2 linked regions of the Cricetulus griseus genome follow. The protein of the gene in region 1 interacts with the protein of each later gene in a pairwise test. Links are inferred from orthologs where the notes say so. Each region holds a gene or a part of one and is shown on either strand. Other genes may lie near its edges.

Region 1 (8,035 bases):
ATGCAGTCACCACCCTCTCCAGCATCCTTAGGATGCAGCCGCCACTCACTCTCTCCAGCATCCTTAGGATGCATCCACCACTCACTCTCTCCAGCATCCTTAGGATGCAGTCACCACTCTCTCCAGCATCCTTAGGATGCGGCGCCACTCACTCTCTCCAGCCTTAGGATGCGGCCGCCACTCACTCTCTCCAGCATCCTTAGGATCTCGGCGGCGCCACTCACTCTCCAGCATCCTTAGGATGCAGCCGCCACTCGCTCACTCTCTCCAGCATCCTTAGGATGCAGCCGCCACTCACTCTCTCCAGCATCCTTAGGATGCAGCCGCCACTCACTCTCTCCAGCATCCTTAGGATGCATCCACCACTCACTCTCTCCAGCATCCTTAAGATGCAGCTGCCACTCTGTCCAACATTCTTAGGATTCAGCCGCCAGGTATTTTGCCACAGTGACATGAAAGAAAAAAGAAAAGCAAAACAAGCATAAATTCTTTTACAAGGTGAAAATTTTGCTTTTCATGTCTGGTTTATGCATTTTTTATTAAACAGGGGGATCCTACTTTTCTTTCATCCTCCTGACAAAACAGAACAGGTTCTATAGTTAGGAACACAGTGATCAATGCAAATGTCCCACTGACCTCCTTCTCCAATTGGGGTATTTTTAGAAAAAACTCTGTGAGTCCACAAAAGACGCCTCAGATTTCAAACACAGTCCTAAAATCAAAGGATACGTTTAAACAAATTCCTCCTGCCATAACCCCCTCCTGCTTTGCCCTGCCCCATTTTCCCTAGGTTCATTTTCCATGAACTTTCTCTGGGGAGACATAAAATTAAAATCTGCACTCAAACTGGCACAGCATCAAGAGCTCCCAAAATGATTCCTGCAAGGGGCTGGAGAGATGGTTTAGTGGTTGAGAGCACTGGCTGCTCATCCAAAGGACCTGGGTTGGGTTCCCAGCACCTACATGGCAGCTCATGACTGTTTGTAACTCCAGTTCCAGGAGATATGATGCCCTCTTCTGGCCGCCACGGGTACAACATGCACATTGTGCCCAGACCCACACACAGGCAAAACACTTGCACACATAAAAATAATGTAAATGGCTCCTTAAAGCTCATCTTGCTTGATGAGTTAAATGACTTTATTAGGTGTCACCCACGGAGGAGTAGACAACTATGGACAGCTATATTTTCCTCTTGTCACTAATGCTCCATTTACAAGATCACATACTATAGGGCTTATGTCAGAAGCTCTGATGCAAACCTGAATTCAGGGTGCTAGCTAGTGTTTAAGGAGCACATCTGACCCTAAAGCCATTTAGGGTGCCCATCCCTGCCTTCATCAAGGACCTTTGACAAACACTGCTAAGCTGTGGGGACGACACCTTGATTTGCAGCAGGCTGGCATGAAGAATAACTAAAGGACAGCCTGCTAAATGTGGTGCCAGTTCGATTCTCTGGTGCTTTTGATAAAATGACCAAAACCAACTTGAAGAGTAAAGGATTTATTCACCTTATATTTCAAGGTCGCAGTCCATTATGCAGGGAAGTCAGGCCAGGAACCTGGGAAGCAGGAACTGACCCTGAAGGGATGCTGCTCACTGGCTTTCTCATGGTTTGCTCATCTTGCTTTCTTACACACCCAGGACAACCAGCCCAGGTAGGGCACAGTGCACAGCAAACATACAACAAAATGGGAACCACCACTGCGGTCCTTACTACAAAGAGCCTAGCATAGTCTTTCATGTCATTATTTTTGCATATATTTAAGTAAGATTTTCTATTGTACCTTCTGACACAGGGTTACACTCAGATGCCCAGGCTGGCCTGGGACTCAGTTCTCCTTTTTTGGCTCCACAAATGCTAGGCTTGCAGGTGCACTACCGTGCAAAGCTCATCACAAGGTTTTCTCCAAAGAGAAACACTCCCCGCCAAAGGATTAGTCTGCTCAATCTGAATACTCTATTTACCTTAGCTTCTCCCTTGCTTTGGCCTCATAGACCGCTACTTGTGTATTTACACATGGAAGCTACCTTAGGTATTGGGTCCGTCTCAACCTGGCTATCACACTGTTCTAGACAGTCACTTCCAGGCACAAGTATCTTTGTAGAGATCTGTTCATGCACATGCGTAGTTCACTTACAGTGAGACACTTTTTTTTTCAAATTCCACTGGGGGAAAAAACAGACTTAAAAACACAAATGTATAGCTCATTTTACAGTGCCACCCTCTTACCTCCTGCAGAAACTTCTCACTCATCTGACTGAAATGATGCCCTGGGGGCTTGATCCCAGACACCATCAGTCCAGAGGGGAAGACCCTCGGCTTCTGCAAGTCAGGCTTGAATTTCTCATACATGTTGGCAGATGGCTGAAGGTCACGGTTCGCTGTCTTCTCCTCTTGTGGAAGAGGCATGCCACATGAAGGAGGGGCATATGGAAGCCCCACGGGGACCAGTGAGGCATCCCCCTGACCCAGTGCCTGAGGGTTCCTACGGATGTAAGTGATGATCTTGGGCCTCACATGTTTGGGCTTCGGCATAAGGACCGGCTTTGTCTCTGTCCTTTCTTCCACTTTCTCCATCTCGAGTTTCTCGGTTGCTTCCTGGGAGGAAGGTGCGTCCTTGGGATGTGAAAGAGGCTTGGGGATCCCACTGGGGCAGGTGCTCTTATCGGGCACTTTCAGGGATGTGTTCAACACCTGCCCACCATCAGTGGGTGGCAAGGCCACCAGGGTTGAGCCCGTGTCCACGCTGAACTGAGAACTGCTACCTTGAGGAGTGGGGTGGTGAGTCAAGTTCACAGTTGTCTCTGGGTGGAGGGGAGCTGAGGTGCTGAAAACTGAATCTCCTCCAGCTGGAGCGACTTCGGTTTGGGCTGCGTTTTCTAGACGGTTCCTATCTTCAGCTACAGGTGTCGCTGTCTCTCTGCCTTTTCTGGCTTCTGAGTTGCCGCTGTGCGGGCCCAAGAGCTCAGGGGCCTCAGCTCTGTTCCCTCCCACAGAGGGACCTGCGGCCAATGCCTTGGCACTGCCTCCATTCTGGCTACCCTGACTCCTCTCCTCCCTACTGACCTCAGAGGAGATGCTCTCAGTATCACGGAGAACACAAGCTATGTGGCCATCGCTGGGTGCAAAGTCGCTGGATGCTGTTTCCCTCATGGTCCTACCTAAGGCGCCTGGTGACGTTTTACCAGTGAGTCTAGTACCTCCCTCTCCAGGAGCAGTGCTCTGCGCTGGGGTGGCTTGCTGAAACCCCTCCACACCAGCACTGACTCCCATCATTTCTTCCAGGCCGCTGCCTTCTCCCACTTTAAGCTGGTGGTGGCTGCTGTTCAATTGACTGGTGGCTTCTTGATGTGTCTTCTCATGTAGCTCCTTCCTCTCCACAGGTGACATACTTTTCTCCTCGTGACATCCCAGACCCTGTGCCTGGGATGACTTTAGCCCCTGCTCATTCCTGGGTTGAAGGTATTTGCGCTCCACTTTGAGCTCCCCTGTTCCTTGGCCTACGAACACTTCCGGGTGACTGGGGCTGGGAATTTCCATCAATGCTGAAGCTGAATTGGGAGTCGATTCTGGGTGAGGGATGCACTCGCTGTAAAGGTCCAGGCCATGTGTCCCCTCCATCTTGGTGACTGATGGGATGGACCCCCTGGCTTCTGAGGTAGATGGTTTAGGAGGACATACACACCTCCCCGCTGAGGTACCCTCACCTACAGATAAGACTGTCCCTGGAGTGTGACCAGCCAATGTCCCCTGTGGCCCCTCCCCACGCCCAGGCACAAGGCCCTGTGGCTCTGAGGTGTCCAGCCGCATGGGCTGCAAATTCTCCCAAATGAGACTGCCAGCTGAAGCTGCTGAGCTGCTGGCTCTTTTCAGCTCTTCATTGTCAAGGGTCTTTGCCAACTTGTCCTTGGGAATGTGTCGGGGAACTTCAGCATCCCTTTTAGCTGAACCCTCTAGACTGGCCTGACCCACTGCATTCCTCCAACTGGCTAGACCTGGTCCCTGGACACTCTGGGGGGTCTGCAGGATAGCTCTTTTCACTGTGTGTTCTTCACTCGGTTGTCTATGAACAACCAGAGAAGGATGAAAATCCCTCTGGCTGGTGGAGGCAGCCTGAGCCCCTTTCCCAAAGCCCTGAGGTTGAGGGGGCTGCTTCTGGGAGTGGCTGTGGTACTGTGGCCTGCTCACATTTGCATTTCCAATTTCATCATCCAGATCACGTGTCCTGGGCTCATCATTCGGGGAGCTGACCTCCAACATGATTTGATTGGCATTTGTATCTCCCATGCTTAGAATGCTCTCGTTATTGTTTTTTGCCCGATCTTGGTGCTCTCGCAACTGACTGAAACAGTGTTTCTTTGGAGCCAGTGGGATACTCATGGTCACCTCTTCAGTGAGGGCTGCTGGCCATGCAGTCCCCCTTCAAACTGCAGGGCAACAGGCAGCTGTCTTGTTGCCTGTCCTCCTGTGACAATGGCACATCTAGACACTACTTTGAACCTCTTCAGACAAGTTTCAGAACCAACCATTGTCTTGACACGCAGCGAAACAACTCACGATGCTCCATTGCTGCTCAGTGAAAACCAGTTAGTCGATGAGACCTGTGAAGAAATGAAAACACCGTCATTTTAGAATGAAGACAACAATAACCATGAGTAAGAGACACATGCGAGAGCTAGCAGTGGTGGCGCTCGCCTTTAATCCCGACACTTGGGAAGCAGAGACAGGTGGGTCTCTGTGAGTTCTGAGACCAGCCTGGTCTACAGAGTGAGTTCCAGGACAGCCAGGGCTGTTATAACAGAGAAACCCTGTCTCAAACAATAACAAAAGACAAACAAACAAACAACATCATCACCAGAAGGGTGAGCATAACACAAGTCATTTGGGGAAGAAAAGAAAAATCCTATGCAGATGATTTTCATCACAGTGCATTGTTATGACTGCTCTGTTTTATTGCAAATTATTTGCTAACCTCTTGCTGGGCCAAATGTATAAGGCACACTTTATCATAGGTCTGTCTGTGTAGGGGAAAGGTACCACCTGTAAATCCAAGCATCCCAGGGATCTTGAACTGCATCCTCACCAATGAAGGTAGATCACAATACACACAGCTGAGAACCGTGAGCCCAGCATGCTTTCCCTTACTGTAGTGTCTCTCTCCATCTCACCCCTAACTTCCTAACATCTAACCCTAGCATCCTTGCAAATTCTGAGATACATCTCTCCTTCCTGTTCATTTCTTTTCCACCTGTACATACATGTTTTTCCACCTAAATGGAGTCCTTTTGTATAATCTGACCCTTAGTCAGTTTTGTTTTCTTATGTGTGCCTTCCCATCTTCACCCTAGGACATACTATCACAACTGTGTCTGCTCTGCATGTCCTGGGAATGTAGACTCTTGTGAACATAGCCTCCATCACTTGCTGCCATGCTGATCTTGTACTCCTCCCACACCTCCCTCATGGTCCCTGTTTCTCCCCCCCCACCCCCCCCCCGCATGCCAGTAGCATCCTGAGGTACAGCCTGGCCTCAATACAATCCCTAACTGAGGGACTGAGCCTAACACAGGAAAGTTGTGCCAAAATTGCCATTTCGTTCTTGTTTCCATTTTGAGAATACATTTGTCTTCCAGGCAAAAAACTAACAACATCTAAGCAGATTCATGGGACAGCCATTTAAAAAGAAGCTAAACTCTCCAGGCTGGGATGTGAGTATCCCAACGAGCCAAGAAATTCACAAGCATGGCCATCCACAGAAGGGCACCATCTCTGACTCCCTAGAGATGCAAGCAAGTACAGACACAAAGCCAAGAGCTCTCTTGGTCTGAATCTCATGAAGAAACAAAACCAGAACATCAGAAACCATGAGGAACAATGGGATTTCTAGAAAGTGACAAACGCCCATAAAACAGTGTCTTGCTAGAGAAAGCTGTGTTGTTTGTTTGGTTGGTTTTGTTTTTGTCTTTTTTTAAAACATATTTCTTTTACTTGATATGTATGGGTGTTTTACCTGTATGTACGCCTGTGCACCATGTGCATGTAGTACCCTCAGAGGCCAGAGGGGGCATCAGATCCCTTAGAACTGGAGTTATAGATGGTTTTGAGCAGCCATGTCAATGCTGGGAATTAAACCTGAGTCCTCTGCAAGAGCAGCCAGGGCTCTCAACAGCTGAGTCATCTACCTCTCCAGTCCAACACTGAAGATTTTTTAACAACATCATTAGCATTTAATAAGACCACTGTAACATAGGCTTCCATTCTTGGCCAAAATGTCCCTACAGAGGACACAGGTGTAATGGGTCCATGAGGTTCTTCTATCTGTGCCCATCTCTCATCACTGGGCAGGCTCAGCTGTCTCAAGTTCACCAGCTCTGTAAATAGTTGGGCACCTTATCTAGAAGCTTCTTTGGTTAATGGCATATCTACTTTTGAATCATGAAATGTATTGATGTCATCTGGACACTTACACACAATCTCTTTATCCATCTTAGAGTCCAGGTTCCCGTGAGCTATGTTTGTTCCAACAATGTATCATTAAAGTCACTCTCACACAATGAGAAACTCAACAGATCCAACCCTGTGTCATCCTCGTCACCCTGAGTCACCTGACTGAAAGACAGGCTAGAGTCAGAGGTTCTCAGCTTGACACCTGGGCTCCGATGATCCTTCTGTGGTTAAAGACTCAAATATTTGTACAATTCTACTTCAAACACGACTGTCCTGCTAAATTACACTTCCTACCAACATCATCAAAATCCAGCCCAAGCCCACTTCTCCCACAAAACTTCCCTAAACTCTTTCCTCCTCAAAAAGCTGCTACATGAGAGTTTACGTGTTGTTTCTTAAGTCCTGAGTCTGCACATCTCTCCTGTGGGCCAGCCCAACCACACTTTTATCACAGCCATGGTTTTCTTTTCTTTCCTTTTCTTTTCTTTTTCTTTTTTTTTCTTTTTTTTTTTTTTTTGCTTCCAACCAAAGTCTTCCCTCCCTCCACTCCTCCCCCACCTGTCCTCTATCTCCCCCATCCACTCCTCCTCCACTGTTTCTCTTCAGATACAGGTGGCCCTCCTATGGATATCAGCCATTCAAGGTATAGCAAGCTTCAGGTAGACTAGGCTCCTCCTCTTCTTTTAAGGCTGGATGAGGTCTAGGAGAAAGGGTCCCAAACACAGGTATTGGAGTCAGAGACAGCCCCTGCTCTCACTATTAGGAGTCTCACAAGACCACCACATTCCACAGCTGTCACCTATATCAAGAGCACCTAGGTCAGTCCCATGCAGGCTCCCTGGTTGTCAGTTCAGTCTCTGTGAGCTCCTATGAGCCTAGGTTAGCTGACTCTGTGGGTTTTCTTGGGGTGTCTTTGACCCTTTTCACAACCATGTTCTTGAATTTACTATCTACCAACTTTCGTACATACTCAAATCTGAGAATGTGTAGTGCTGGCATAGAATGTACGCACACCTTCCTTTATACATTCAAATGCCTCTAGGTCACTTACAATCACTAATATAAAGCAAATACTTGGCATTTTATAATGTTTGGGAACAGTGATGAGAAAAGTTGATGTGTTTCCAGCAGAGGTGTGATTTTTAAATATTTTCTGTGGTTGTTTGAGCCCATAAATGTGGAGCCCCAGAGACTGGGGGGGGGGGGGACTGTTGTACATTTAATTTTATAGCAGTTAAATGTGCTTCGCATTAAGCTGTGTGTCTTACTCATTTTAGGAGACCACAAGCTTACTACATTAATGGTTCAGGAGTCTCTGTCCCCCTGTGGCTTTTGGAACAGCTTTCTGCAGCATAGATATGCCAGATGAAGTGACCCAACTGGATCCCAACTTGAGCTCAGAATAGTGAACACTCACTACCCTCAGGTTATCAAGGATTCTAATTTTTTCACTTGTGTAATGGTTGGTTGAAATGCTAAAGTAGCTCTTCTAGATGAAGAACTGGCTACCCCATCCCCAGGGCTGAATCAAGAGAAAGCATGAGAAAACTACATTCTGGAGTTGAAGAGATGATTCAATGGTTG
Region 2 (8,035 bases), about 120 Mb from region 1:
TAGCAAACAATTGGCAAAGATATTTAAAAAGAATGTTAGCTATTACTGTTCAGTGCCTGAGGAATTAATTAGTAAATCTATACAAGACTGAAAAGAGCTTAGTAATTAATAAGAAATTACTTTAAAATCTCTCTGGAAAGCATTCAAACTCAATCACAACTCAGGAAATAAATTACCATTAGTTTCATTACATATTTATTTATAGGTCGAAGAAACCTAAGGGCACAAGAAAATACTCAACTTTTTTTTTTTTTAAGTTCTGTTCAAGATCTCCTGAGCAAATCTGGAGCATGGGGGCAGGGAAGAGGAAATTAGGAGAATGAGAAGGGGAGAAGAGGAGGGGTGAGGAAGACATGATGGGGCAGGGAGGTTGACTTGGGGGAAGAACAGAAGAGAGCAAGATGAGCGATAATATAATAGAAGACATTATAGGTTTAAAGAGAAATCAGGCACTAGGGAAATGTCTGGAGAGCTACAAAGATGACACCAACTAACAATCTAAGCAACAGAGTAGAGGCTACCTTAAATGCCCTCTCCTGATAATGAGATTGATGACTAATTCATATGCCATTGTATAGCCTTCACCCAGCAGCTGGTGGAAGTAGAAGCAGACACCCACAGCTAAACACTGAACTAAACTGAAATCCAGTTGCAGAGAAGGAGGACTGTTGAGCAAAGGGGTCCATACCAGGCTGGTGAAACCCACAGAAACAGCTGACCTGACAAGGGAGAGCCCTTGGTCCCCAGACTGATAGCTGGGAAACCAGCACGGGACTAATCCAGACCCCCTGAATGTAGGTGTCAGTGAGGAGATCTTGGAAATCTATGGGACCTCTTGTAGTGGATCAATACTTATCCCTAGCATAGGAATGAACTTTGGGAGCCCATCCCACATGGAGGGATACTCCCTGAGCCTAGACACAAGGCGGTTTACCTAGGCCCTATCCCAAAGAATAAGACAGATTTTGAAGACCCCCATGGAAGGCCTTACCTTCGCTGGGGAGCAGAAAGGGTATGGGATAGATAGGGTGTTAGTTGGGGGGGGGCAGGGGAGAAGGGGAGGGAGAAGGACCTGGGGTTGACATGTAAAATTTTTTTTTCTAATTAAAATAAAAAAGAATAAAATGAAAAAAGTTTTGTTTATCTTTTTAGTTAAGGTGGTTAATTTCATACAATAAATTCCATTATGAGATACAGGAATTGCACAAATTACATTACATTAAAATATGACACCTTATTATATTAAGGAATTTTCAGTTAGAGATATATTAGTATCACAAACACTAAAATATGCAACAGAAATGTAAAGTACCTGACCTGCACTATCAATGTAAGGCCAGGGTGGGTAAAATGACAAGTTCATACACAAGCTCTCTTAATCTGGTTTATATGCAATATATAAGTAAGTACTACAGAAAGCAGGTGTGTCTAGTTACTATTTGAGTTGCATTTTAAAATATAAGGTATTTATTATTTTAGAAAACAGTTCATATATCTTAATTTTTTATAAAAATGAACAATGGCAAGTAAAGAATTTTTACAAATAATGTAGTAAAACAATCTTTATCATAAAAAGGTTAGTATAAGTAAAAGTGAAGCACCTGTCATTTATTTCAAAAAGAGCTATCAGCTAAGACTCTTCTCTCAGGATAACCCAACCTAAGAACATTTAATCTTCATTAAATAAGCTCTAAAAGAATACATCCATGAAAGAACACAGTCCACGTGCCAAGATGAGAGACTCACTAATTATTATATTCACACATACACCATCCTTGGTACATACAAGTGCTCAGCTGATCCTCCATAGTGTTCGTTGACAATCTGGGGAGAATTTGAAGGCAACATATTTACTGTGTTTTCCTATTGTTTGTTTGTAAAGAGTTGTTTGACATGGAATGCAGTAAAGCAATGGTAAACAATGATAAGATTTATACATTCAGTTTTTATAAACTGTTTGTCATTATAAACATCCTGGTCATTAGACTGGTTTTGAAAAAGTGTCATGTGAGATACAAAGATACAATACATAATCCTAGACTTCTGGATAAAAATTCAGATCGAAAGTGTCTGTGATGCTAAATGTGCCAAGTAAGTAAATGTCCAAAGTTAGTACTCAAGCACCAAAGCCCTAAGATGTGAAGATCTTATTTGGTTGTGGCTCTGGCCAACTTTCCCTAGTAGCCTCATCCTGCCTTCATGAATAGTTAGCTTCAAATTATGCAGCTGAAGAGATGAAGACATACTTGTGGCAAGTAAAAACTGAAGCATAAAACACACTTTCTTTTGTAATAAAGTCAAATTCCCCACAGAGAACTTCATGAACTTTTATGAATGTTGCAGAACACACTTCTGATACATGCCCACAAGAAGTATTTTCTTTGCTTGTTAAAGCACGTTATTTCTGTGTGCCTTTTGAGTCCTAAAGACGACGATTAATTGTGAAAGTCCTGTCACCTGGAATCAAGTTTGCCCTCTTGACAAAGAAGAGAGGGACAGACAGACACAGAAGATGTGTTACTGCCTGTTAAGTTGAGAACTAAGGGCTTCATTTTTCCATAGCTCATGTGCTGTTTGTTTATTGCTTGCACTGTTTATGTTTACTTGGCTAATAGTGTCCCAAGAATCCAAATACTCGACTGGGACATGTGTCCTGACTGCATCTTTGAACTTATACCAGTGAAAGCAATGTTCAAGCCAGATAAAGATACTTGCAAATAACTGAAGGCTGGCTGTGAGCCCAACGCACATTTCTCTAATTTTGTTTTCAACTGGTTCTTTGCTTGATCCCTCTATCTTGATGAACGCCGTGTAGGAGTCCTTTCAAAGTACATGAAGTCCTGAAATTGGAAAGGGTATTATATTTAGATTGAGAAATGAATGACAGATAGAAATAATTATATTAATGCATATAATATATTTCCTTTGTAATTTATCATGAGAGCATCGTATTCCAGTAAAAAAAAATAAATCTAAAACATTCATGAGCACGACTAATGTATGAGAATGCAAGTGGATCATATGCTTTTCATAGTGAGCATTTTTATCATTAACTGAAGGAGAACCTTAGTAAAACTTAGGATGATGTAACACTAATGAGCATGATTGCAGTTGACTGGAAAGAGGAAAGGGGCAGCTGCTCTGTAGTTATTTTATTACATTAATTATCATGGGACAGCTGTTTTGAAGTAGTGAGAAAATAACTAATAGGAAATGATGATTACTGCGTCCACTGTCTGTATGACACCTTCCAGGTGTGTCCAGCAGCCTTTACCCAGTTAAGATTCGTCACTCTGCAATGCCATTATTTTTCTCCCTGCTACAAATGAGTAAATCTAGGTACCAAGTGCCAACCTGTGCCTAGAGGTGGCACAGACAGAAGCTAGCTAAGTTTCAAAATGAATTTTCTTCTAAAAAATACTGCTCATCAGAAGAAATGGGCCCACAGTGTAAGGCTTACAATGAGGAAGCAAGTGCCGAAAATCATCGCTTTCATCGTCACATCCAGGTCCAAAGGGAAGCGAATCTCAAAGTGGTCAGCATCTCCCATTGTTGATAGAAAGCCATTCCACTTTCTGATAATACTGCCGATGTTAGATGCTCCATCTAGAGAGTTGACCTGCAATGCCAAGAGTGGGACTTTAGGATGGCTGAAAAGCATAAAGGGACATGTGTATGTCTTCTTAGAAGCAGTTTGTGATATGATAATATAGAATACCGGAAAAAACACTAATGACATAATTTCAAATGAGGACCCCTAAGATTAAGTGTCCTGAAACTTTGTGTAACTGAGCTGGGATGTATCTTAAAACCCTCAGTCTTGTGACTTTTCCTCACTCTTAAATACATCTTCTGGGGACTTTGTCAGAAGGTATGGTTTGTATTGATGATTAAATTCATTTACGTAGCAGAGGGTGATAATTTGGGGATGGGAAACCATTTCCAACCAAGGAAACCTCCAAACAAAACTAAGGGGTAATACTATACAGTGAACACCACTCAAGCCCCTGTGGGCCAAATCTACCCTTCTGAGTGTATCTATGTATAAGAATGGGTTCCAACTTCTAAAAGAGGGGCCCTGACATTTGACAGTAGAAATACCTCATACATAGCTTCTAAAGTCCCTCTGTAATGAAATGATCACACACAATCTGCACTGGAAATCTGGTTTGCTGACATTTTCTATACAACTTTTTTTTTTCCAAAGAATTTTTTTTTTAGTTCAAATTAGAAACAAGCCTGTTTCACATGTTAATCCCTTCTCCCTCTCCCTCCCCTCTTCCCCCACCAGCTCCCTACACCATCCCCCCTCTGCTCCCCAGGGGGGTAAGGCCCTCCATGGGGATCCCCAAAGTCTGTCATACCATCTTGGGAGGGCCTAGGCCCTCCCCAATGTGTCCAGGCTGAGAAAGCATCCCTCCACATGGAATGGGCTCCCAAAGTCCTTTCTTCGGCCAGGGATAAATACTGATCTACTACCAGGGGCCCCATAGAGTGCTGAGGCCTCCTCATTGACATCAATGTTCAGGGGTCTGGATCAGTTCTGTGCTAGCCACCCAGACAGCAGTCTGGGGTCCATGGGCTCCCCCTTGTTCAGGTCAGCTGTTTCTGTGGGTTTCACCTGTCCAGTCTTGACTCTTAATAAGTGAGGCATGTTTCATTACATGATGACATAAAATAAAAGCTAGAAAGCTTTTTGTGTCATAGGAAGCAGGAGAGGGAATAAGTTTAGTGTATGTCAAGCCTCATCCTGTTAAAAGGCTTTGAGAAACCCTCCCAAACCTCAAGACTTTTATTTTAACAATTTCTTTGGCAGTCCCTGGGAAAAATGCAAAAGGCAAGAACAAACAAACAAACAAACAAACAAACAAACACAAAACCACTCTTTTTAATTTTTTCACATATTTTTCCTTTTATGAAAAAAATTTTAAATTGAGCTATGCATTTTCTCCATTCCCCTACCCTCCTCCTCTCTGCCCTTCCACCCTATTCCCTGCTCCCCCACATTCCCAGTTTACTCAGGAGATCTGTATTCCCCCCTTCCTAGGCAGATGTCTCTCTCAGGGTCTTCTTTGTTACCTAGGTTCTCTAGGGTTGTATCCTGTAGGCTGGTATCCCTTTTCTTTATTAGACCACTCTGTTTTGAGAAAATATTATAATACAACCCAGTCATTCATTATATCCATGCCCTTATGAATTCCTTAAGTACTGGGGTTTGCTAGATTTTTACATATAAAACCTATATTCCCATTTTAGAAATCATTGGGGAGAAATATATATATATATATATATTCAATTATTGATCCAATCAGGCTGTTTACTCCCAAAAGTTTAATGTTCTAAATTGGAAAAAAAATGTTTTAAAAAGGCAGCGCCACTCACATTGTGGAAAATATCAAGTAACCATGAGAAACCAAGTGAACACTTGCAATTAACTCTTTCTTCATACCATTTGACTCATTCATGTGAAAAACTGGTTAAGACAAGAAGAATGGTTTGAGGTCATAATGGAAAATGTAGAAGCAAAATTTCTATATATATATATATATATATATATATAGAGAGAGAGAGAGAGAGAGAGAGATAGATAGATATCTCTCTCTCTCTCTCTCTCTCTCTATATATATATATATAATATATATATATATATATTATATATATATATATATCTACCTCAAAAACGGAATCTGAACCACAGCCATAGGTTGCACATGGACCACGCACTCTCATCACATTCTCTTTCTTCTGATTTTGGATGCTGTAAGTGGCTCTGCATAAGTTCCAGTGTTCTGCAACAAATCCAATGGTGACACCAGGAGGACACTGCACTTCCAGCTGCATATGAAAAGTAACAGAAGTTATGATGTTGTATTGTACAATGCATAACTATGCCACTCATGTGCACACACCTGAACATGCTCTTGGTCATTCTAGGGCAAGGGGGAATTTATGTTAGGGACAGACTCATGTTTCCCTGGGGCCATTTGCAGGGTTGTATTTCCAAGAGGACTCTAAAGAGACGAGGTCATGTTTTACTGTGGGACAAAGAAAAGGCTTAACGAATAACTGCTCAACTGCTTGATGTAAGATTCCACCAGTGTTCCTAACAGGACATACAGCATTGTCACACAGTCAATCCTGAAGGACCTGAGGCAGAGAGGACCTTACATGAATGTACTGGCATTCATGATGCTGTGCTGTAATAAAGGCCTTTGAGCAGGCAGTAGTGGTGCCCGCCTTTAATCCCAGCTCTTAGGAGGCAAAGGCAGGTGGATCTCTGTGAGTTTGAGGTCAGCTTGGTCTACAGAGAGAGTTCCAGGACATCCAGGGCTACACAGAGAAACCCTGTCTTGAAAAAAAAGAAAACAGAAAAAATGTAATAACAGCCTTTGTTTCATTTAGGAGTTTCATGTATAATAGGAGTAGTTAACTTAATAAATCAGACCCAGCAAAACTAAATCTACATGACAACTACAACAAATAAAAAAAACAAAGGAGAAAGAAGCACTGTGAAATTTGTATGAAAGTATTCCCCATTTGATGGGAATGCATTCCAAGACATTGGTTGATGTCTTAAATAGGGATAGTTCTGAACCCAAAATATAGCATACTTTACAATAAACACATGCCTATAGTCATTAAACTCCACCTACAGCAAAGTTATTTATCATTTGGTTGCAGTACAGTACCAACAAGAACCATTAGCTATAGAATAGCTACAATACTCTGTCCTACAATAGAAATTATATGAATGTAGTCTTTCAACTGCCTCTGTGTGTATGCAGTTATACCTTGGATACTCTGCACAAAACAATAAATCAAGATCCAGAATTCACCACATTATTCAGCGTATGAATTGTTTATTTCTGGAACTTGTTATTAATATTTCAGACTATATTTGTCTATAGTAACCAAACCACAAAAAGTAAAACTGCTGATGGAAGTGGGGGAGCTGCTTGCTATAACAGTTAAAAGCTTGCATGTGGAGGTAGACAATAGCACTTTATTAAAGATTTTTAAAACATTGTACACTGTGCTGTTGTACTTAATTACCCATGCATTAAAATTTTATCAAAGCTGTCAGGACTTGCATTGCCAGAGCCATTGTTCATATATACAAATTTGTAACTATACAAAACATTGAATTTGATAGTTCCCTAGAACCAAAACTTTAAAATTGGTGACACTGTAAGACCATAAAGCAAGGCTCAACAATGACAAGAGAATTGAAACAATTCCTTATAAACAGAATTACATCAATTCCTTATATTCTGTCAGGTCACAAAAGAATAAAACTAGAACCAACAATAAGGAAAATTATAGAAATTATACAAATATTTGCACATTTTCAATGAATACTGAATCAGTGAAGAAATCAAGGGAAAAATTGAAACAGTAATAGATTCAAACTAAAACATCAACAAAGCTTCTCAGACCACCAGGACACAGACAGGGAAGTTCTAAGGGAAATATTACAGCTGGGAGAGCTTGCATTAAAAATCAAATGATCCACTCAAAATTCTAAAAAATCAACAGGAAGTCAAATCCAAAGTGAAGCAAATAGCAAGTAATCATACAGATTAATGTAGAGATTGATGAAATAGGGACTAAAAGGAGACACAGAATCAACTAAAATATTTTCTTTTTTGAAAAGAAAAGCAAGTTTGAAAAATCCCTAACTATATGAACCAAAATAAAAAGAGGTCATAAATTAATAAAATTAGAGACAAGAGAGATGTCCAAAACAAAATCCAATGTAATCCAGAAGTACACTTTGGCAATGATAGGAAAACTTTCCAAGCAGCTAAATACATGGCCTGTCAAAATTAAATCCGGAAGATATACATAATTTATGCAGACAAGCAATGAGATTAAAGCAGTCACTACTCCATCTTCTTACTAAAGAAAAGTCTAGGACTGGACAGATGCAGAGTTAAATTCTACTGAACTTTCAAGGACTAGTTAATGTCTTAAACTATTTTTCAAAATAGAGAGTAAATGAAACCATCAAATTGATTGAGCAATGGTAGTACCC

Evidence for each region.
Region 2: the proteins of Mtus2 (region 1) and Plscr4 interact in binary tests that used the Homo sapiens proteins (3 or more experiments, as listed by UniProt). The two-hybrid records come from large-scale screens. The link is inferred for Cricetulus griseus from reciprocal best matches to the Homo sapiens genes MTUS2 and PLSCR4.

The regions. Positions count from the first base shown.
Region 1 is NC_048597.1:83,932,487-83,940,521, reverse strand, and holds part of Mtus2 (microtubule-associated tumor suppressor candidate 2), read right to left. Parts: intron 4,606-8,035; 5' UTR 4,385-4,605; coding exon 2,234-4,384; intron 1-2,233. UniProt on the Homo sapiens protein: Binds microtubules. Together with MAPRE1 may target the microtubule depolymerase KIF2C to the plus-end of microtubules. May regulate the dynamics of microtubules at their growing distal tip.
Region 2 is NC_048597.1:201,469,792-201,477,826, reverse strand, and holds the end of Plscr4 (phospholipid scramblase 4), read right to left. Parts: intron 5,836-8,035; coding exon 5,674-5,835; intron 3,620-5,673; coding exon 3,461-3,619; intron 2,841-3,460; coding exon 2,793-2,840; 3' UTR 2,750-2,792; exon of another isoform or gene 1,825-2,749; 3' UTR 1,121-1,824; downstream 1-1,120. UniProt on the Homo sapiens protein: Catalyzes metal ion-induced ATP-independent rapid bidirectional and non-specific movement of phospholipids (lipid scrambling or lipid flip-flop) between the inner and outer leaflet of the plasma membrane and participates in the redistribution of phospholipids between membrane leaflets.